4 linked regions of the Drosophila melanogaster genome follow. The protein of the gene in region 2 interacts with the protein of the main gene of each other region in a pairwise test. Each region holds a gene or a part of one and is shown on either strand. Other genes may lie near its edges. The genes, in order: Hr78, CG1602, Picot and H2.0.

Evidence for each region.
Region 1: the proteins of CG1602 (region 2) and Hr78 interact in a two-hybrid assay, tested with the Drosophila melanogaster proteins (one large-scale study listed by BioGRID).
Region 3: the proteins of CG1602 (region 2) and Picot interact in a two-hybrid assay, tested with the Drosophila melanogaster proteins (one large-scale study listed by BioGRID).
Region 4: the proteins of CG1602 (region 2) and H2.0 interact in a two-hybrid assay, tested with the Drosophila melanogaster proteins (one large-scale study listed by BioGRID).

Annotation. Positions count from the first base shown.
Region 1 is NT_037436.4:21,493,519-21,499,334, forward strand, and holds Hr78 (Hormone-receptor-like in 78), read right to left. Parts: upstream 3,977-5,816; 5' UTR 3,773-3,976; intron 3,666-3,772; exon of another isoform or gene 3,625-3,665; intron 3,504-3,624; exon of another isoform or gene 3,390-3,503; 5' UTR 3,342-3,389; coding exon 3,302-3,341; exon of another isoform or gene 3,224-3,301; coding exon 2,903-3,223; exon of another isoform or gene 2,875-2,902; intron 2,351-2,874; coding exon 2,081-2,350; intron 1,963-2,080; coding exon 788-1,962; 3' UTR 501-787; downstream 1-500. Other genes in the region: CG7519 (uncharacterized protein), read left to right, coding at 1-264; Glg1 (golgi complex-localized glycoprotein 1), read right to left, coding at 4,697-4,974.
Region 2 is NT_033778.4:7,516,421-7,520,709, reverse strand, and holds CG1602 (uncharacterized protein), read left to right. Parts: upstream 1-1,773; 5' UTR 1,774-1,849; coding exon 1,850-2,275; intron 2,276-2,331; coding exon 2,332-2,685; intron 2,686-2,742; coding exon 2,743-3,696; 3' UTR 3,697-3,787; downstream 3,788-4,289. Other genes in the region: PIG-G (phosphatidylinositol glycan anchor biosynthesis class G), read right to left, coding at 1-26, 85-299, 359-489, 551-1,109, 1,173-1,336.
Region 3 is NT_033778.4:16,654,799-16,660,733, forward strand, and holds Picot (picot), read right to left. Parts: upstream 4,361-5,935; 5' UTR 4,052-4,360; coding exon 3,949-4,051; intron 2,642-3,948; coding exon 2,466-2,641; intron 2,397-2,465; coding exon 1,833-2,396; intron 1,769-1,832; coding exon 1,238-1,768; intron 1,175-1,237; coding exon 959-1,174; 3' UTR 525-958; downstream 1-524. Other genes in the region: nach, read right to left, coding at 1-248. UniProt on the Drosophila melanogaster protein: May be an inorganic phosphate cotransporter.
Region 4 is NT_033779.5:6,013,380-6,020,939, reverse strand, and holds the start of H2.0 (homeodomain protein 2.0), read left to right. Parts: upstream 1-1,537; 5' UTR 1,538-1,746; coding exon 1,747-2,263; intron 2,264-6,843; coding exon 6,844-7,340; intron 7,341-7,442; coding exon 7,443-7,560. Other genes in the region: CG13996 (uncharacterized protein), read right to left, coding at 1-90. UniProt on the Drosophila melanogaster protein: May play a role in pattern formation during embryonic and imaginal development. Is not essential for visceral muscle morphogenesis.

The sequences.
Region 1 (5,816 bases), on a different chromosome or scaffold from region 2:
CGGCTTACCGATGATATTCTCAAATCCGCCACGGCGAAGCTCAAGTGGCGCCAGTTCGCCGAGAAGTTTAACAAGTTGGACGATTACTCGTATGGCACCCTGATGCGCGCCGATGCCAGCAGGGAATTCTCCCCGGACAACTCTATCTTCGTGTTTCGCGTCCAGTTTCTGGCCATCGAGATTGCCCGGAATCGGGAGGGACTCAACGATGAGGCTTACGAGAAGCACAAGCCCGCCAGAAAGGTACCCGAAGAGGAACAGTAATCCCTCGCTCTAGCTTAGATTAAGTTGTAAAGACTGGATGCATATTTAGCTGCAGTTCGTCTATCTACTTTAGTAAACAATCAAATTATTTTTATACAAAAAATAAAAATATAACGACCGCCTTTAAATTGTTCCCTACACGTTGCCATTTCTTGACTTTGTATTCTGCTTTCTGCCAATCTGTGGGATGAGATCCACATCTTTAATAAAAATTAGATTAACATTTGATCAAAGTTGTGTTGTAATAATCTAATGTATACATCTCAAAGTTCTGATGCAAACATTCTGTTTAAAAACATATTCGCTTTTATTGGGAAATCGATTCCATTTTATCTGTGAACAACAATAAACCCATGGTTTTATGTTAGAATATTGTATCCTAAACTATATATTGTATATATTAAATATATAATTAATGGGATTTGCCTAGTTGCTACATGTATTGCCCGCACTTGGTCCATCTTCAGTCTTGCTTTTGGGCAGTCTAGCGAATCTGCTTGCGCCCTGTTCTTCTCAATTCCGCCTACAGTCCACTGGTGTTGCTGGTCATCAGTATGAACGGAATAAGAGCATCCATCTGCATCTGCCCCACCAAGTTGGCGAAGAACAGCTCCTCCATGGCCTCTGCGTCCAGGCTGCTGAGCGGAAGAAGGCGAGCCACCAGAACATTAAAGCGCTCCTCGCCGCCGCCGATGCCACCCTGCCTTCTCAAACTTGACAGAGCGTAGAGTTGGACTCTGCGGACGTAGCCTCGCAACGACCGCTCCTTGCGCTGCTGCAAGAGCGTTGGATTGAAGAGCAAGATCAGACGCAGCAAGCCAAACTCCATATCAGTAACATCCAGTGACTGGAGCTCCTGGACAAAGTCGTGCAGGGTCCTGGTGAGATTTGCCATCTTCGAGATCTTCAACGGTTCGATCTTATCGATATCCGCTAGCTGGCGAGTGCTTTGAATAAACTGCCCGATAATGGTGGGCACCGAAAGCTGACCCTGACACTGCGCCAAAGCTATAGCCATTAATGCTGGCCACACTCCTCTCAGGAGTTTCACCTGTGTATGGGCTTCCAATTGTTCGAAAACTGGAACCTTTCGAAGGGTATGGATGGTGAGAAAAATGATTCGCGAGCCCGTCTCACACACATAATGAATATTTAAATACGAGTGGACCAAAGTCGGCGGTTGCACATGAAAGGCACACTGCACATCGGTGAGAAGATCCTGTTCAAAGACCGCCTCATTGATAGCAAAATCGCTTCCACCGCTTCGGTTCCCACCGCACTCAAAGTCTAGTTCCATGTGCTCCAGCTCCGCGTCTACGGCATCCTCGGTGCCACTGTCCTCCGCCTCTGAATCGCACTCGGGCTTCACACTCAGATTACCATTTCGCTCCAGTTGGTTTTGGATGGGCTGCAGGATCTGCAGTCCCTTGTGGATGACCCGCATGTCCAGCGAACTCTGAATAAGCCCCATTGTCGAGGTGGTAGGCAGAGCGGTGGGTACTTCCCCAGCATTAAAGTTCAGGTGCTGCGAGTTGTTGTTGCTGGCGCTGTTGGCGAGCAACTGCAAGCACAGCGTGCTGCTGTTGTCCATTGAGTCGTCCTCGTCATCCTCGGGATCTGCCTTCGGAATATCTGGCGAATAGCTACCACTCTGTTGATGCTGTTGCTGTTGTTGCTGCTGCTGTTGGGTAGCGAACACTGCAAAGTCAATAGGAGATTATTAATGGTGAATTCGTTTAAAAGAAGTTAAATATGGATCAATCATGGCAGTTAAGTATATATGACCAACCAGAATGTAAATCAAAGTTCAACTTACTCAATGTCTGCGTTAGTTCTGCGAAATTCAAACCCATCGGGAATATATTCTCATTCAAATTGAAGGCCGTTGCTGGCGCGCTGTGCACTGGAGGCGTGGCCGCGGATTCGGCCTTTACACTGTGCCCCTTGCCACGCCCCTGCTGATAGCCGGACTTGCCGGATAGGTAGGTGGACGAGCCATTACCGCCGCCAGAAGTGGATGAGCTACCGGCAGCAGCGATGATCCCCTCCTTCCTGTCCACAATCGGTTTCCTCTCGTGCTGCACAGCTGTGAACAAAAGTTGATGAGAACGGAAGGCAATTAATTAGAGCGAGAAGTGAGGTGAGGATGCGGTTTGATGATTTTCAAAGCGAGGTGATGGTGAGTAAGTGGGTGAATTGGTTAATGTTCGTGCAGGCTGGGAATCTTTTGTGCCTCCGCCGCTGCAGTTTTAAGATGTGCAAGTTACTGAAGTGGATATTCACGTTACAGAAGCAAACACTGGGATGCAATTAGATTCACGTGATTACTTGGTGTAAAATGCACTTCACAGACGAAAATTGAATTGAATTCAATTGAAATTGAACTTTCTCTAGATTAGACTATTTATCTTTGAGTCCAATTCGAATTGGAGATCATCCAACCAGTTCTTGATTAAGCTCTGGGAAACTGAGTTCCTGTGAATCGATAACGTTTCATTACTTGTCAGAGTTAAATGCTACATATATGATATCTCCTAATTTCTACAATGCAATTCTGCTAAAGCCTGCTGGAGCACGTAGACTCTGGCCAGGCCAGAGATTGGTTATAGCTTGAGACGACGACTTAAACGAAAATTACAATCACTTCGCATGCCGCTGGCCAGGCACTTCTGTAGTCGACAGAACTGGCACCGATTCCTGTGGTGCTTGGTGACCTCGCAGTTCATAGCCCCGCGACACTGGTAGCCCAGCTGCTTCCGGATCGAGCGCTTGAAGAATCCCTTGCAGCCTTCGCAGCTTATGGCTCCGTAGTGCCGCCCGGAGGCGCGGTCCCCGCACACCAAACACAGCTCCACGCTCAACGTTGCGGATGCTCCGGCTCCCATTCCCACGCCGCCTCCTGGCAGAGGAGTGCCGCCTGAGGCACTGCCTCCTCCGATCAAGGGCATCGCTCGGTTTTCTGCAAGGTCAGAGGGCAATGGCAACAGTCGCGTTAGAATGGGCTCCAAGGTGGCATGGCTCGGGTGATTGGACTCACCTTCGCTTTTGATGAACGTCTCAACCTTAACGCCGTCCATTGTCGCCACAGCAGGCGGCTAAAAAATAGTCGTCGGCTGTATAAATAACTGAAACCCAAACATCTTCACATATGTAATTTAAATTTTACTTGCAATATAAAGTAGAGAAGAGATAAATATGGAGTGTGTCTAGAATAAAGGAATTACGAGCCGAAAAGAGAGGTATGAGGTGGTTAATTCTATCACAAAATATATTTATATAGTAGATAATAATAATAATAATAATAAATGTATTATAATATATTATATTGATGTTTTCAAAAAATAAATCATTGAATTTTACGCAATATAAAACACCGTTGCTGCTGCCAACAAAAGTGCTACTATTTTGGACGCAGCTGTAGCTAACGTAGCCAGAGCTATTTTAATAGAACCTGTTTTGGCTGCATCTGTGTGGGTGCCTGTGATGTGAATGAATTGGTCTTGCTTACTTGGCTCTTTGAAAATTCTTATTGGACGTCTGTTATCACCATTCTTGAGCTTTTAAAAACATCTATTTTTCGAGGCACTTGGTTAAAGTTATGTTACTTCCGGTCAGTTACGATATTTTCAGGCACTTTGTGCCTATTTTGAACCTTTTCTAACGCAATAAAATCTCCTTGTTCCAATTCACTTGCGAGCAGTGTGACCGCAGTTGGGCTCTTTCAACATACCATCCGGTCCCATATACTAAAAAAAGGCAGCTCATTGTGCAAATATACCAAAACACCTGTAGAGCTACAGTTCGTTGAAATTGTAATTTTTAACGTAAAACAAAGGATAATAATAGAATTACTAATATCAATAATAACAAAGGCGTGTCTAGGGTACAAATTAGAGTCAAGCTTAATCAATTAACACAAATTTTAATTCTCATAAGCCCACAAGGACATAATATTAAATTTTATACTTTGAGTTACCTTGGCTATTTGATTAAATTGATAAGCCTATCCCAAGTTTTTACTTAACTTTTGTACTCAAAACTAGGCGCTCTGCCGTATTAGCGCTCTGGTATTGATCCAAAGAGAAACATCTGTTGATGCCTTCCATGTGGATATAGTTAAAAAGAAGGGGCTTTTGTTTACAAAAATACAATTTAATATACAAGTGAAATTGTTACAAAAAAGCTATAACGAAAAGAGCCCTAAGAATGGAACTAGTATATTTGATTGTGTTCTCCTTTCTCGCGTATTTTTTGGTCTTACAAACGACTAAGCCACAAATTGCTCACACAAATATCGAAAGGCAGACAGGGTTGAGTGAAAGTATACTTCTGGGTTTCGGAATGGGGTCATGGATGGGCCGAAATGGAAATCAGCAAGCTCACAAACATGCACACTCCGCCTACACAGTGCCACTACAGTCTAATATTTCAATTATTTATTCTTTAAGCCCATTGCCCGTTTGGTGGCCCGTCCCAGGAAGATGCCGGTGAGGAAGACCAGGCCCGTGGCGCTCATTAGTATCACAAGGAAGAATTTCCGCGCCGGAGAGGCGACGACTTGTTGCACTAGCTGCTGCACATCCTCGGGCGGAAGCGCCAACGTGTCGTCTGCGTTCCTGAACATCTCTATGCGTCGCTGCAGCTTTTCTCGGCAGTCCGCCTCTAACGAGTTCGGCGTATCCTTCAGCAGCGTCCTTAAGCAATTAAGTTCTAGAACATAGAGAGAAAAACATTAATTATTATATTTATAACCACACCAACCACACACACACACACACACACACACACACACACACACACACACACACACACACACACACACACACACACACACACACACACACACACACACACACACACACACACACACACACACACACCCCCCTGCACCAAAAAGGAATGTTCAAGAAATTTCATAATTTGCTGCCTATCACGTAACTTCCCGTTGTTTATTTACACTATGTACTGTTCTTATTCTCTTAGTCAATCTGCCTCCAATTATATCGATCTGCTTCAAATACATAAGCTGTTTGATAGGTGCTTTCACTAAGAGTTTCCAGTGTAGGAAGAGGAATTCTACTATCTGCCCCCCCTGGCTGATGGCCTGGCCAAAGACCCTAGAATAACAAGATGCGTAACGCCATACGATTTTTTGGCACACGATTTTTTGGCCGTGGCTCTAGAGGTGGCTCCAGGCTCTCTCGAATTTTTGTTAGAGAGCGAGAGAGCGAAGAGCGCTACAGCGAACCGCTCTTTTCTACGCATACAGTGATAGCAGACAACTTTATGTGTGCACACGTATGCTCATGCATTGTAAATTTGACAAAATATGCCCTTCACCTTAGAAGTTCTTTGGCTTTAAATCTATATTATTTTTGATCAATTGGCACCATGCGAAAAATTCTTGTTTTGCATTGCCTTAACGTTATTATTATTTGAAAATAGATTAGAAATAGTCAAATCTATGTACATATTATCACAAAAATAAATTTCAAAAATGACTTTATATAAGAATATTTGTCATTAGAGTATTCATCTTGCGGCGTGTGAAA
Region 2 (4,289 bases):
GGCATTCTGATACCAGGTGTAGTAATCTGGAGAATGAATGAATAATTAACTAAAGAAATCGGCGCGGAGGGATCATAACCTTACCACTCCGATGGACTATTTCGTGGCCGAACTTCACTCGCGCCTTGTTGAGCAAGTGGTGGGCGTTGTAGAAGTAAGCATACAACTGGTGCTCCAAAGACAGCGATTGCAGCATCTCCGGTATTAGGCAGCCAATGGAGAGCGTGGGTATTTCAACAGACAGAAGCACTGAAAGGGTGGGCGCCAAATCGATTTGGTTGTACCGTTTTGAGGCGGATCTGTGCAAGAATCATTTGTAGATGCAGTTTTTCTTTTAGATTGTACTTTTGGGGCTTACGGTGTTTTGCTGCAGTTGTTGTAATACAAATATAAAGGTACCAGAGTTTCGGCTGGCGTATTGCCGCCATGTCCTCCGCCATCAGCCATGCCATGATCTCCAGTCAGCATAAGCAGAACGTTGGGAAAACTCTAAATAGGGAAGGAGTTACTTTACAGCTTTCCCTCTATATTAAGCTATCTAATAGCTCACCTTATGATCCAATATTTTTTTCACCACCTCATCCATTTCCTTTAGCTTTAGGGGCACCCTAGGGCTGGCATTGCCCTCGACATGACCAATGTGATCGAGGCCCAGATAGTGTAAAATCAGCAAAGACCAGTCACTCCGCTCCAACTCAGTCTCCAGCGTTTTGGTCACATTTCTATCGCCCTCGTAGAAGTCGTTAACATAAAAGGAATCATGGTTCTCGACCTGCCGTGTAAACTCGCTGGGAAAGAGCTTCACCCAGGTGTGGTCGCCGGCAAAGGAAACAACTCGATTCTGCTGTTTTAGCCGGTGCAAGAACGAGTCCTGCATCTGCTCCGTATGACCCACGTTTAGCGCAATGTCGATAAAGTTCGAAAGGGTGCCGGTGGTGATGCTCTTCAAGCGTGGCATAGTCACCGTCGGTATGTCCACATGGAGCTTAAGCTTCTCGCAGGCCCTAGAATAAGCCACCGGCATAGACGTGGCATCGGGAAAATCATCGCGCAACGCGTCGACCAGTAACAGCACAAAGGAGTCATAGGCAGGTGGCGGCGGCGTCAGTCTGTAAAGGGTAACGAGCATTATAGGGGCGCTATCTCACGCAATTATCAGCTCATAAACTCACTCCATGCCAAGCAGAGCGGTGGGCCGGCCCTCTGGCACGGTGCTTTCCTTCTCCGCCACCGAGTAGGAGGCCGGAAAGAAGCCAATCAGAAAGAGCACGGCGCCGCAAAGGAACGCCGTGAGCATGCCGATGGTATAGACCAGCCAACTTTTGTGCTGTTCCATCTTCTTGTTTTCATCGAAAGTACCGCGCTCCACCGAAAACCACAACAAATTCAATATAATTGCCGCCCGTCAGCTGGAAGTCAAATATAAAGGCTAGACAATCGATAAGTGCTGTATGCTATCGATAGACGGCAAGCAAAACTTCAGGGGCGTAGGCACATAAAACTAATAAATGCTAAAGTCTTACGTATAATTTATATTTATTTTAAAACTATTGATACGAAAGAGTTAAGAGAGGAAATTTGTTAGCTTTATGGAAAAAAAGTATTAATATTTACATAATATTACTAACGTTTTGCCATTTCTCGAAGTGTATATTATTTTATACTTAATTTATCTTAATTTACATTTAAAATCTTACATATAAAAGAAATTTTTTAAATTTGATACTTATAAAACAAACGAATTTAATATCGTCTGTCGAACCCTTTTGCCCATTTGTGAATGCGCCCATGGTCTCTCATAGTCGGATATGTATAAACAAACGCTTTTGATTGTTATTTCTAACTTAAAATGGAAACTTGCGGCCTTATTTGTGTGAGCAGGGACTACGAGAAGTTCCTGATGCGCTGCTCCTACTGTCCAACGGACGTGGAGGTGGCCCAGTGGCAGGAGTTTGTGCTGCACATCCGCAACGTGCATAGCAAAGTAAGGAGCATGGAAGACGACTTCGAGCCAGTGGGGGAAAATTCTACGGAGTCTGGGCACGTAGATCCTCCAGAGGAGAAACCCCAAGCGGAAGAGTCGATATTCCAGCAAGACGAATCGGCGGACGGAGCCTGTGTACAGCTGCATATTGACGCAGTGCGTTCGTCGACAAACGAGACTGAGGAGTCGGACGTATCTTTGGTTACAGATGAAGAAGAATCCGTCCAGGACGAGGATCCAAGTGAACCAGCTCTTGATGATGCCAATTTAAAAACCACACCCACATACAAGGTACTTCTAGAAGCCATTCATGAACGCGCTAAACTAATCTCAGCATTCAACTTCAGTTTCATCCATCCTTCTTTCGCCGAGATCACCGAACCATAAAGTTCATAGAGATCTACAAGGAACACCCGTGCCTTTGGAATCCCGCTCACAGCGACTACAAGGAACCCAAGAAATGCAAAGAAGCCCTGAAGCGTATGGCCATTGACTTGGAGGCAACTGTATCCGTATTCCTGAACGAGATGGCCTTAAAGCTGGCCATCAAGAAAGTCCACATGCAGTTCAACACCGTGCACAAGCGGGTGGTGTCTGGAAAACAGAAACCTCAATCGCTGGCTTTCAGTATATACAAATTGTGTTGCTTCTTGAACGCTAGCAACGATGAAGAAGGGGCTACGAATAACGAAAAAATTAAGGCAAGATATTTGAATTAATTCAAATTGAAATTGTTAACAAGCATACTTTGCCCGCAGCTTGATTTCTCCAAGAAAAACAAGCTGACTACCGACCTGATAGAGATGTACGCAAACTTTCCGCAGCTATACGACTCCAACCACAAGGAGTTCTCCAATATGAGCTCTCGAAAACAGGCATACGAGAGCATGGCTGCGGAAATCTCAGTGCCCAATGTGGACATCAACAGCGATGACATATTCCGCGCCATCCAGAATCTCCGCCAATGGTACTACAAGAACACTAAGCATGCCATTTATGCCGGAAGTACAGCCGAGAAGTTCTACCTAGAGGTGTGTCGGTTCATGCCTGCAAAGATGTACAAGCAGCGGCTGGTCTGCGAATTTTGCCACCAGATTACGTCCTCGGATCATGTCCTGCAGTCGCACATCTTCAAGGCGCACAACATCGGCGAGCTGCCCTTCAAATGCACCTTGTGCGACCGAAGTTTTGTGGGACGTTGCGAGCTGGCTAATCACATACAGCGGGTCCATATCGGCAAGACCCACAAGTGCACCCATTGTGAGCGTTCATTCGCTGTGATGTCGGACCTGCAGCTGCACATCCGTACGCACACTGGCCACAAGCCTTACGTCTGCGAGCATTGCGGCAAGGCCTTCCGACTGCGGTCCCAAATGACGCTCCACGTCACGGCTATTCACACGAAGATCAGAGCCTTCAAGTGCACCATGTGTCCCAAAGACTTTGTGAAAAAGGTCGACTTATCGGATCACATCAAGGGCCATTTAAACATCCGCGACAAAATCTGCAGTGTGTGCGGTAAGGGATTCACCAGCTGCCATGCACTCATCCGACACCGGCAGATTCACTCCGAGGTGAAGAAGTTTGTGTGCAAACTCTGCGACTCCAGGTTCTCCCAGTTTGTGGGTCTTAATACGCACATGAAGCGCACCCACAACATTCTTCGTAATAATTCACAAAAGGGTAAAGATGCTGTGGATGCAGAGAACTGAATTTGATTAAATTTGCAATAAAATGACAGTTTATAAATAGGCAATCTTTTGCAAATGGGGGGAAATAAAAATACACAAATGAGAGTGAAACAATATGTTTAAACAAATTTATTTATATAACGGTTTAAGAATGTATATTAATAATTAAGAATATAAATTCTACATTATCTGGCCATGTCCATCTGTCGAAATCTGGGGATGTACATCTAAAAGCCTAAACACATTCCCCTGCCTACGCTGCGCTATTTTTTCCAAAATGTTGGCACGCCCACAAGGCGCCGACAACTGTAACGCCCATACATTTGAAAAACGTTTTGGTGTTTTCCTGTTCATATTTGTCTCGCTATTTTCTATCGATATGACAAAAAAAATATAATTTCTCAACAAATAAGCTTGATTGATTTTGATTTTTCCAAATGGTTAGTACTAGAATTTTATAACATTTTTTTTCGAAAATTGAAATGTACTAGTTACTTTAAAGATTCATTCATGAAATGCAGATTTTTAATCATTTTTAAGCACCACCAACAGTTGTTAAAACGTTTTCTTTTAAGCCTTCATAAAATTGTGTTTAAATATTATTTTAAAAATAG
Region 3 (5,935 bases), 9.1 Mb from region 2:
CGCGTCGGACTGCTGCGATAGTCCATGTAGAAGGTGCGCGCCATAACAACAGCACAAATGAACATCACCACCGATATTAAGAGCCACACCAGGTGCACAATCTTATTCGTATCCTCGTCACGAGTGTATTTCAATCCATGGATACTGCTGGTGGCACAGAAGTCACTCCATGTGCGTCGCAGATAGCCCACAAAGGGGGTTACTTTCAGATCCACTTGCTCCGGCTTCAGCTCCTCCTGATGGCCCATTGTAACTGCTAACTAAATCCTTCTGCTTTAGTGCTAGCATTTAAGTAGCTGATAGAGGAGATGGTTGCACTTGATATCCTGACAACTGCTTATTATTTACGAATTAGCCATCAAGGGTGAAAGAGTAACCAACGTTGTTAGGAAAGCTTATTGTTGGCTTTAAGAGAATATGATTATTGGTTATTCTTTAAACAACTTCTTTAAGCAACATTCATTCCCAATACACGTAATTGGTCCTTTTTCTGCCCTCTTCCAATAAATGTTTAAATGTTTTTTGTTTCTTAAACTAGTAGTTTTTAATGGTTTTCATACATTTGGTTGTTTGCTTAACAATGTTCGCTTGAGCGGTTCATTTAATTTCAAAACAAATCAGTGAGAGAAGTAAACTCTTTCGCTATCACAATAAAATAAGAAAACTACACATTTGCAATGGTAGACCTCGATTTCACTAACTAAAGTTGACGTTTTGTGCTCGACTTGGTGTGGTTTCGGTTTCAGTTCCCAATTTATTTACAATTGGAAGATTAGTGTCTTTTTAGCGGTATTTATGCAGATGTAGGAATAAATCAAAGGCTAACTATCAATATTAACAACTTTTGGCTTATCAAATAATTAGACTAAAACAAGGACTAAGCTACGCATATCGTATAGTGTACGGATTAATGGTTAATGACGCACGACTACGGCTAATACTACTTCCATTTGGAGTCCTAGGAACTCGAGATGGCCGCTGGTGCCGTGCTGCCGTTGCTCAGCCTCGCTGGGGAGGTGGTGACGGTCGTCTGGAGGGCCGGCTTCTGCTCATCGTCCTCCGGATTGTCCCAGTACTGACGCTCACCGGATCCGAAGATGTTGTAGAAGGTACCGCAAATGATGTACACAAAGGCAGCGATGAAGAACACGATCTGCCACTGACCCATCATGGGCTAAAAATGGAAATAAATTGTTATAGTATCTGTTTTCCAACTCAAATGGACTTCCGAACTCACCTTGCTGGGATCAGAAATGAGGTGACCTGCAGCAATGGGCGCTAAGAGACCAGCCAAATTGGCAGAGCAGTTAGTGATCGACATTAGGAAGCCGGCGAAACGCGGTGTGAGGTCCAAGTGGTTGATCTTGAAGCCGGAGTAGATACCTCCATTAAGACCCACTCCGATGGTGAGGATGGCCAAGGTCAGTGCTCTGTCGCAGCCCGTGTAGGAGGCGGCGATTAGGGCGACTCCCGGTCCATACTGGCCAATACTGTTGATCAGCTTCCTGGTGGCCGTGTGCGAGAATCTCTTCGAGCTAATCATCCAATCGGCGACCACCGAGATGAACATGGAGAAGAGCCACATGGCCAAGTAGGGCAGGGAGCTGAGCAGACCGTTCGACTTCAGGGAGAAGCGGAGCACCTGCTTCATGTAGGTGGGCAGCTCGGTCATCAGAGTCTCATAGCCGTAGTTGTGACCCATGTGGGCGAACAGAATGGCGTAGAAGGGCAGCGACTTGATGATAGCCTTGAAGGGAATGGGAGGGCTCTAAAAAGTAAGAATAGAATATTATAATTTCAATCTAAAATTGTTAATTATCTCCAAATCCCACCTTAACAACATCAGTTCCCCAGAGGGAATCGTTAATGTACTTCTTCTCGCGCTCATCAATAGTGGGATGCGAAGAGGGATCCTCGTGCACGAAGATCAGGAAGGCGATGGACCAGACGGTACCCACAATTCCAAACACATAGAAGATCGACGGCCAGCCGCCATCGAATCCGTATTCAGCCAGCAGGCCGGAAAGTGGCATAGAGATGATGGTTCCAAACTGTGCACCCGCATACACGGCGGCACCCATTCGTGACCTTTCGTTGGGCGGAATCCATTTGGCCAACATGGCGTGGGTGCAGGGCACGATGGGACCCTCACCTAGACCTTGGATGAAACGCACGGCGCACAGACCCCAAACACCTCCACCGCGGGCAGCCACCGGAACCAGGAAGGCAAACACGGAGTTGATCAACATGCCGTAGCCGAGGAAGCGCAGGGAACCGTACTTCTTGGCCAATATGCCAAAGGGAATCTGGGTGATGACATAGCCATAGAAGAAGGACGACAAGATGTAGCCCTGCAGAGCTGAGCTCCAGGCGAACTCGCCATCCTGAGAGTCATCCTGAAATTGGGAATTGAAGAGAATTCATCAGCATAAATTGAGTTTTCTTTTTATATAATGCCAACTTACAATAGGAATATCCCGATCTCCGCACTCATCATCGTACTCCTCTGCCTCTCCAGACTTGATGGCCGTGTGGTTCACCATGGCCACAATGGCCACCGACATGTTGGTGCGCATCACATAGGCATTGGCCATGCCCAGGAAAAGCATAAAGGTCACAAAGTACCGGGTGGCAAAGCATCCTAAAAAATGCCAAGAAAACCGAGAGAATTAGCCAAGTGATTACCAAAATATTCCTCTCAGAGAGTATGGCAAAATGAAATGCGTCAGAAAAAGCCAAAATAAATAATTTATCTGCGGCAAGCGGATGTCTTGTCGACAACTATTATTGCTAGCTAACCAATTAAATGCTTCGGAAATGCAGAAATAACCCAAATATATCGCGGCTAAAAGCGATATATGAAGATATAATCTCGTCTGCGGTTTGTTCAGCTTCAAGGTTCGTTGCTCGGAGATAAGATTCTCGGATTCTAGGTTTGCTAAGTGAATCATTTAAGATATCGGGCCCACAAATGTTTCTGTTATGCTGTTATATACGTCTAGTTGCTTATTATTTTAGAACTGATTACTTATCGCATTACAATAACTGAGAATCAACCGATTTCTTCTTAAATTTCACAATAAACTTTTGCAATTGAGAGCTCTACTCTCCTTATTTGATTTTATTGCCCAATAGTCATATTTCGTGATCGCGTTTTGTAACTACGACGAAAGCAATTGTTTACATTTGGCTGGATGAGTGTTTGTAATTTTTAGTGCCGTTTGTGTCATTTGTCAAACGTGAATCGCCGCAATTCCAGCAATTTTCACGGCCACATGGGACACGTGAGCTTACCTAGAATTCCTATTTCATGTACAGTTGCGCTTACTTTCTAGGATTTGCGAATGGGCTCGGATATTTCTGGTTTAATTAAGGGGTGACGCATAGAAAGTTCAAGGCTGTAAGCGAGCAGAACAAATTAAGCCAATTTACTTTCAAAACCAATGAACTTTGGCCACCTGTAGCCAATCGAAAAGTGAAATGATAAGCAATTTGTGTTCAATAACCCGGTGGATTTCATTGGAATTCAGTTGCCCATAACTAGCAAAATAAATTTGGAAATAAACAATCGTTCGAATCCGCAATTATGCTGATTCAAATTTGATTTTAAAAACATTGTTATTCGCTCGCCGTGTACTTTTGCTTACGCAGCACTAAATCGAAAAGTGTGCTCGCTTTTCCCCTGGTTTCCCCACATATTTCCACCAACGTCTCGTGTTGCACAATTGCCGAGTTTGCTTTCGTTGGCAGCTAGCTATCTGGCGATGAGGAAAAGCACGTGTATATCACGCGAAATGAGTCCAAGGGGAAGAAAACCGGTCTAAATAGGAAAATACTTTCCTCAATATAACGCATACGCAGCGTGGTCACAAAATAAAGACAGAAACTGGCGAAGAAAACAAAAAGGACCAACTTGTGCTAGCTTATCCTTTTGCATTTCAGACTTACTCTGCGGCTGTTGCTCCAGAGATTCGTGGAGATTCCTCTGATTCCATACCAAAACATGGCCATCGCGATGCCGATGATTCAGACTGCTGCGTCGAAAGGGCATAGTGTTCGATTTTGGCCTTAACTTAAATAAATTATCTAAATTTTATCTAGCACGCGTTTTACTCGAGTTCAAGACTTTTTGCGCACACGCTTAAACCATTTCATTGTCTATCTATCGACTTGGTCGGCTGAAGACCGTAACATATCGCGCACTGGGAAAACTCAAAGGGTTCGCTTGAGGGGAAAACTTGAGCGACAATTTATCGCTGGGTCTAGTGCGAGTGTATGTTCTGCCACCGACGTTGAACGGTCAACTGAGTGGGTACTTTTTGCAACCGCCAGCTGCTTTCAGCTTTTTCTACTGAGCGCCAACTGTTGCGCCGCCTTCATTTATAAACTGCGGCCATCGCTGTGGGTATATCGCATATGAGTGTATCTGCGGCTATTGGGTTCGGATTCGGATATAGAACGAGTGAGGTGCGGTGCGGTATTATTCTGCGCCGGCGTCGCTCTCTCCGCCGCCGTTGGGTGATTACATCAGTTTTAGTGTTCAGATTTCGACTAATTAAGTGAGACGATGGAAAATTCTCCCCTTGCATTATGCATCATTTTCGGACCCGGCGATTGATGTCAATTGATAGAGTGAACTTTTCAGTCGCTGCAAAGTCAAAGAGATTTGGTCGAACCATCTACCGATATAGTATATATGTCTAATTATATCGGATGGACGTAAGCATGCCACACATTCACATCTCGTGACTTTCGGCACATGGAAGGCAAAGTACACGCGCTGTCTAAAATATGCACAGCTAAGTGATTATGGTAACATCGCGAGTACCCGCTGCGGACTTTGAAAGATTGCCAAATAATTTTGGTATCTTATATTGAAGTGGTGTTGTTGGGCTACACTGGGCTTCATACTATCTTAAAGATAATCTCTACCCTAACCATCCCCAACAAATGAAAATGGGACCAGACACATGTCTGTAGCTAGACTCGGGATGAAGTCATACAAATGCGACGACACTAAGTGGAGGCGACCCCACTAGGTGTACACTGTACACCATACATATGTATTCTGAGTAATAACTGGTCACGCCAAAATATATACACTATTTTAATCGCTTTGACAAGTTCTTGCTAACTTTGTCATAATCCTAAAATGTGAACAAAACCCATTAGAATTTTCGCCCATTGTTTTGCATTAATAATCGCTGATAATCGCAAAGCGAAACCAAAGTTAAAACTGTACAAATAGCTACAGTCACGCATGAATCGCACAAGTGATTGTTTATATATATATGTGTGTGTTGGAGCCCGCTCTGAAAATTGCCGCCGGCTGAGAAAAACACGTGTTTGTCGCCTGCCTTCGCTCGCAAGTTCCAATTACCCAGACGACATGATCACATCGACTTCCGAATGATCTACACATCGAAATTGGATATCGCTTTGGGTTTTAAAAACGAAATGTTTTGAAGGCATTTGGTTATTTACATGGATATGTGTATAAAATATTATTGTATTTAGTTTGATCCTTTTTTAGCATTCAACACTCCTTGGCCAGATTTTTTACTGCCCTGTAAAGTTTTTTTCTTTCGTGTTAATTGCGCTTTGCCGCCATTGAGCGTGTCTGTCGAGCTCTCGTGACAATAAAGAGAAACCATTCACACTGTCTGCTTTGATGTGTACCATATTCTAATTATTTAAGTGTATGTAGGGTGTATTTTTGGCAAATCCCCTAATGGAATACTTTATGGCTAGGCTGCGGTACAGTTGTGCGCGGCCAAAGCAATTAAGTAATTTTTCATTTTGTCTGCCAACTATTCCCATTCGCTTCCGTCTTCCGAATGGAATGAAAGCAGTTCATATTTATTAATTATTAATTATTCATGGGCATTTGAAAGAGTTAACTATTTTACATACTCTCTACATGAAGTCTACAAGC
Region 4 (7,560 bases), on a different chromosome or scaffold from region 2:
CTCACAGATATCCGGACTGTCCATGCCACTGGCACTGTGCGGCAGTGGTGACGGTATGGTGGAGCACCTGGACGCTGAGAACGACTCCATTCGAGTGGTGGCAGCGCACTGTTCCTGGGCCAAAGTGAATTGAGTTGCCCCGCAACGATTTGGTTGCGGTTTCCAGCGATTCCTCAAGAATAAGTGGCGTTCGTGTCTGTTTACATAGTTTGATTGCGTTTCGCTTTCATTTGTTGTATGCCCTATAATTTTCCGGGAAAAGTTGTTGGCTACAATCACTAAGGCTCAATTTGCACTTTAAATGGGTTAATGGAATTTAAGCCATGCTCTTTCCAATCAGTATCTTTGAACGTTCGGCATATCCTGGAATGTATCTGAATCTTTTTTTTTAAGTAAAAAGGATTATTTTATTATTAATCGGACTTCACTTTGAAGAGGATAAAAGTGTCACCGACTGGCGATGGATTTTCCGCTGCCATTGCATTTGCATATTCCACATTTTCTGGGTCACTTTGTGGGCTTGTGGTGCTAGGGTGTTTTTGGCACCAAATCCGCCCGCTTGGATGGGAGTTTTGTGCCGGAAAGTATGCTATCTTAAGGTAGTCACGACAATTTTCCTATTAATAACGCCAGTTTCGCTCCGCAATTTACACATTTCTACTTAAGTTTTCCAACCCCGACGATCCGTTCGTGTTCCGTTTTGCGGATTTCCGCTTGTGGAATGCGGTTTCTGATTTATGACCACCAGTCCCGGTTACCCACTTCATTGAACCCAGACAGCGTGGAGCAGGTGGAGTTCGCGCAGATCGCTCAATCCCAAGCCAATGGAAGGCACATTCCTTGGGCGCGAAAGCGAGATGCCGCATCAGCGCCACCAGTGGCTCCGCCCACCACTGCGGATCGATCGCATTGGCCAGAAATCACGAACCACGAGCCACTCGACATGGCCTCTGCGCAGGGAAACCGGAATTCGGATGGGGTGTGTGTGTCTGTGTGTGGGAGTACGGGAACATATGGAGAAATCGGTAAACAAATCTCGGCTGCGCTCGAGGAAACGATCTCCGACTGAGCTAATGACACAGCGGCATGCTTGTGTGTAAACAAGCGATCGGCATGGCAAGGTATCCCATCTGTGTGTGGCTACAGTGGGATCAGGTCTATGGTAAGTGGATTAACATAATTTTAGGGCACTTTCTAGAGGTATATAGATCTTCAGCGGAATAGAAACCAATGTTACCACCAACCGAAGCCCAAAAATCTAATCTTTCTTGATAGTATTACTCTTCTTGAGTATTACTTTATAAACAATATACACGTTGGATAAAAAAATATCCTGGTTTGTATATCCTGTATATCGAACATATAGCCATTATTTATTGTTAGCATTATATCCTGATCATCTCGCACTCCTTGCCCCACTGTCAGCACCAGGAATACACAATCTCAGCGAGATTAACCCCACCGCCAACAGACTGTTCCGCGTTGGCTGGCCGATCGGCAATCGATGGCTGGTTGAGCGTGCTCCCTGGCCGGTTCCGATCAGTTCTGAGTGGGATGTCTTGCAAGGCGGTTTAATCGGAGGTGCACGAGACCTAAGCCAAAATTCGCGATCGTTTTATTGGTGCACAGCGACGGTGTTTTGGACATGATAGATAGTCCCTATCGATTGTGAACGTGTGAAATCAGTTTTGAGTGTCCTGTGTCGAGATTCGTAGATAGAAACCATATACAACACATATCCGGACAATGTTACTACACGAGAGTGCCGCCAGCATGGAACAGAGTATGCCCGAGAACCTCAGCACTCACATGTACGGCGAGTGTGAAGTGAATCCAACGCTGGCAAAGTGTCCCGATCCAGTGAATGTCGATCATGAGCTGCCCACCAAAGAATCCTGTGCCTCGACTACCATAGTCAGTACGTCGCCAACCAGCGCCACGAGCACCACCAAAGTCAAGCTGAGCTTCAGTGTGGATCGTCTGTTGGGCTCGGAACCCGAGGAATCCCACCGGCAGAGCTCCTCCTCGCCCTCGACCAAGTCATGCTGCGATGGCAGCATTCTAGCCTGCTGCTCCTTCCCCCACTGCTTCAGCCAGGCGAATGCCGAATCCCGTAGGTTTGGACATGCCACGCTTCCGCCCACTTTCACACCCACTTCATCGCACACGTACCCCTTCGTGGGTCTGGATAAGCTGTTCCCTGGCCCCTATATGGATTACAAATCAGTGCTCAGACCGACGCCAATTCGGGCAGCAGAACACGGTAAGGATGCACTATACTCAAAAGGGAACATCCTTTGAATCCGAGCAGGTTTTACAAAAAAAATGTCCATTTGAAAGTAAATCATTCAAAATTACCATTAAGTGCACGGCATTTGGAACATCATGAGCAAACCGAGTTGATAGAAGGAAAACATTTAATCTCTGTAAGGGATGCCTTAAATTAATATGAACTATATTGGTACTGATCCGTATTACATGGATTATAGGTACCTAAGTGTATTTTTAAGATACTTTTAAACTTAAAAGGAATCAGCTCCATACAGAAAGCTATTGAAACATCATTCGTTCGCAGTGAACCTCTTCTAGTTCCAACAACGTACCACTTATCAAAATAATATTTTATACCCATGACTCTATCTTGTAGATACGATCTATCATCTGCACTATTTCAATCTCCCCGTATGTTGTGTGCACTTGCAGCGCCAATAAAACTGATCAAAGCTAATCAGATATTGCGATTTGTCAATCATTCTGCATTCTTTCCATGGAAATATGCAGGATCTCAGGGAACGATCAAACGAGTTGATGAGGTGGCTTCGCCATTTGCCCATCAAAATTCCTTAGCTATTTCGCTCTGTTTTTCAATTATGGACTATAATTATTAGCCATGTTGAGATTTGCAGAGAAAATCGTGAAATGGAATTTAGCCAAATGGGAAATGAACATTCCTGGAAACACAAAGAGTGAGAACCTAAGGCGCAGCCCCAATAAATTTCACGTTTTTATTTGAATTATTAGTTGATCTGCAGCCATATTGTGCAATATTCCTGCGGCCAAATGTTCCGCGCCTTTGGCTCTTGACGAAAACAATTCGATTTTTGAAATCGACAACAAAATAGTCCGGATTGTTTTGGGTATTTGCCGTACTTCCTGCTGTTTTTGTATATCTGGGGACGAAGACTTCTTATAAAGCCTGCAGGCTGCCAGCGCACTTTGATCTTGTTTATGTGAAAATGGAAATGGAAATGGAAATAGTGAGAGCAACATAATCGGTAAATGTTTCGCTTTTCGAATAGAAATTGTTCATTGTTTAACAAGCTGCTTGAGTTTTATACATATCGTCAGCACAGCCTTTTCCCATTCAATATTGTACACAATTCTTATCAAGTGGGTGCTAACAATGCGAGGGCCTTAAACGATCTTAAAGATCTTTTGCGGATAAATGAGATACATATTTGGTTTGGGATTCCTCAATGGATAAATTGATTAGGAAATGTCTGAGATATTAATTTATTTCAAAATAAGAGACCCGCAAATATGTGGAGCTATACTAAAATGATGTGTAAATGGTATTAGCGAGCTTAACTTAAAGCTTACTATAGTTTAGACCTAGTTACAAGTAGCAAAATACAATTTTTTAACAGCCGACTAAAACATATTCAAAAAAGACTTTGGTTGATTCATCCAACGTAAATTCGATACTAATAGCCCTTTAAATTCCGCCAAATTCCAGCACACGATTAAATTATGTAGCAAAATTAGCGCCAAACTTAAATAAATTACACTTCACACAATGATGGAACATTAATGAAAATTATCATCAGTGCTAAGTGGTTTTCAAACACATTTGCTCAGCCAAAAATGGGAGGAGCAATTAGTAAGGCGAATAAATTCGACATAGCTCAATCAACAAAAGATCGGTAAAAAAAAAACGAAGAACAGACAGCACCTGAAAGGCTTCATCAATCCTTTGGGCACCGCAAATAGATGAGATGCCAAAGACCAAAGTGGAAAATTAAGAACAATTTATGAACAAATTACGAGTCAGTCTTTAAAAATAAACTTCAAGCTCACACGGATCGTGGAAAACGTTTGTGGCGAACAGTTTGTTTATTTGCTTGGGCAATTGGCCCGTCATTCATGGGCAGATACAGATAGCTATCCATCTAATTGCCCGCTCTCTAATGAATTGTTCCGCCGGCCGAGGAGTTCGACAGGTGGAGGCATCTTTGGCCCGGCTAGAGACGCGGATCTCTGATAGATTGGGCGCCACGGTTCCAACTACTGCGGCTCAACCGACTCCAATGAGGCTCGGCTGCCGTTTAGGCCAACGACAGGGAACTGCTGACCGATGGATGACTGTACCGGGTATGGGTACGGGCACGGGCACGGGTGAAACTATGCGCTGTTCTTTGGGGGCCGAGCCAAAAGGCCAAGTATTTACACAACCACCCACTGTGGTGGCCTTTTCAGGAGGAGGCTACCCTGTGGCTGCCCGCCGTGTCCAACCTGCCGGCCCCTGCGGAATTATTCCGTGATGGATTGATTGCATCGCATCGCACATCATAAAATCATGGACCAGCGAGATCTCTGCGGCTCCTCCGTCGACTATTTGTTGCTGTTTGCCTGTCCCGCCTGGCGATGAGTAGTTTGTTGATCTGTTGTTGTTGCTCTTCTGGCTGCCGATCAATCGATCCATCCATCGATCGATTGGATGCTACAGACCATTGTCTGATATGGAAATTCTGTCTGAACAATAATCCGGCGCCGTGGGTCTAATTAATTAGCAATTTATATGTTAATCCAACTGATAGATGCACTTTCAAAGCGTTCGAAGATCCCTGATTAATGATGGCCCTCAGACGATTTCTTTTGGAACTTTGAAGACTCTTTCTCAAGTTCCCAACAGCAGGGGAGGGTTGTAGCAATAATAATTACCACGCACTCAACTCAAATTAACGGGACTGATATATGTATGTAGATACCACAACTATAGGATTAACTATAATGAATTGAGTGAAAATTGACGACAATCCCAAGTAGCTAAAGATATTTCACGAAATATACAATTGAAATATTAGCTATACTTTTGATTTCACTTAAATATTTTGAAAGTACATAATGCAGATAATATATCTTAGTGCATAGTTAGCTGGTAAAAGTCAGAGATTCGGATGTTCGGAAGTAGATACATATGTATAATATATTAAAATCAATCAAATAAACACATACTCCGCTTGTCGAGCTGGTAGTCGAAATTTCCATAGCACATGGCCCACTGGGAGTGCTCTGCTTAACCCCAAAAGATCATTCGCAATTTACCGCGAAATAAGCCACAATATTCGCCAAGTCGTAAATGTGGAATGCATCGTGCTAATAAATCGATGCAACTTAAATATGGCTGCGAAATGTACGATTCGCAAACACATCCTACTGGAGATGCATCTGCAACCCAGACCCTTGAGTGATTTAAGATGGCATCCGAAAAATTATCACAACTCATTAAGATATTTACGGGTCCGCTGGCGGTATTTTGTAAATGTATCTGAACGGGAAAGTCGGCAATTAATGATCTCGCGCTGTGAGTGAACCCCAATGCCCCGGCCAACATCCAAGGTGTTGAAAGTCGGTGAAAACTCATTATAACAAACCCCCGATGGTTGACACAAGCCAAATGCCAAAACGGCCAATTAAGGCGTTATTAGCCCCTGCAGATGTGCTGAGATTCCATTGGCGTTCCCGATGCAGATACACAAGCGCACGGATTGAGATACAATTGTATCCACAAGTGCAGAAGCGCATTTCCGCTGCAGTGTAAATACACACAATCGATCGAGTAGTGTGTTGCTTAAGTAAATAAAACGCTCGATCTCGAAAACAATTAGGCGCATGCCGCGAGCACACAAACAAATCGAATTCCACATAGCACAACGTTAAAAAGGCAATAAAAAATACCTATGATAATTTAGCGTTGGCTACAAACAAAGAGGAATGGTTTGCAGTTTGAAATCAAATAAAATTCAATGAAAAAGTCAAGGATAGGAATTAAAATTGTGGCCTTTTAACAACATCAGGATTACATTTCATATCAACATTAGTGAACATTATCGTGAACTGAGGATTCAAAGGAACTTTTTGTAGCATACTTTTCAGCGGAGTCCTTTGAGTTGATAAATGCCGTAATGATCTTGATTGAAACTCAGTAGTTAGATAAAGGATAGTAAATGCCAATAATGATTGGAAATACAATAGGAAAGTCAACGTCATTCGAATTGTTTCTTACTGCGTGTATAAATTCTTGGATATTTAAAAAACATTTAAGGGAAGTAAAGCACCCTGGTTCGACCTCAACCTCGTGTGCCCCATGTCGTGTTCGATTACCCCAAATAATTTTGGATCTCTAGAGGTAATTGTTGTTGTTTAGATTCGCGCTAGAAGTAAACAAATTTCGTTTGCCCCCCCTAGCCACAAAACGCTTCAATGATAATTTCCAATTAAGTGAAAATTTTATTATAAACAAGCCCATTTAAAAATTCTCAACATGCATTTTATTGATCAAAATAATTTACTCAGAAAACACAAAAAATTGAATTTCATATTTTCTTTGGCGAAACAAGTATCATTTCTTTGGCCGGCGATAAATGTATTATTTCCTGCGGATGCAATGTGCTACCAAGGGAGGATGTTGTCCATAACTAATGGTAGTTTTCCTATAAAAATAAATATCCAAATTGGTGCGTAAAAAACGCACCGGATTCAGTATAGCAACAAATTAAGAGTTATTGCTAATGAAGGAAGTATGAATCTCCCAATTGACTTTAACATTCCATTCCCGAACAGCCGCACCCACTTATCCCACGCTGGCTACCAATGCGCTCCTCCGCTTCCATCAACATCAGAAGCAGCAGCACCAGCAGCATCATCATCATCAGCACCATCCCAAACACCTCCATCAGCAGCACAAGCCCCCGCCACACAACTCGACGACAGCCTCGGCGCTACTGGCGCCGCTCCACAGCCTCACGAGCCTCCAGCTGACGCAACAGCAGCAGCGATTTCTGGGCAAGACGCCGCAGCAGCTCCTGGACATAGCGCCCACCTCGCCCGCCGCCGCCGCCGCTGCCACATCCCAGAACGGTGCACATGGACATGGAGGTGGCAATGGCCAGGGCAACGCCTCAGCCGGAAGCAATGGGAAGCGCAAGCGATCCTGGTCTCGCGCCGTCTTCTCGAATCTGCAGCGCAAGGGCCTGGAGATTCAGTTCCAGCAGCAGAAGTACATCACCAAGCCAGATCGCCGCAAGCTGGCGGCACGACTGAATCTCACCGACGCTCAGGTTAGTTAAAAGATGGGATTTTCATAGTTTAACATTTGCACATTCGACTCCTTTCATAGCTCTATAAAAACCAATATATTATTATTTTTATACCCTGATTAGGTCAAGGTGTGGTTCCAGAACCGTCGCATGAAGTGGCGGCACACGCGCGAGAATCTGAAGAGTGGCCAGGAGAAGCAGCCGAGTGCAGTACCCGAATCCGGAGGTGTCTTCAAGACAT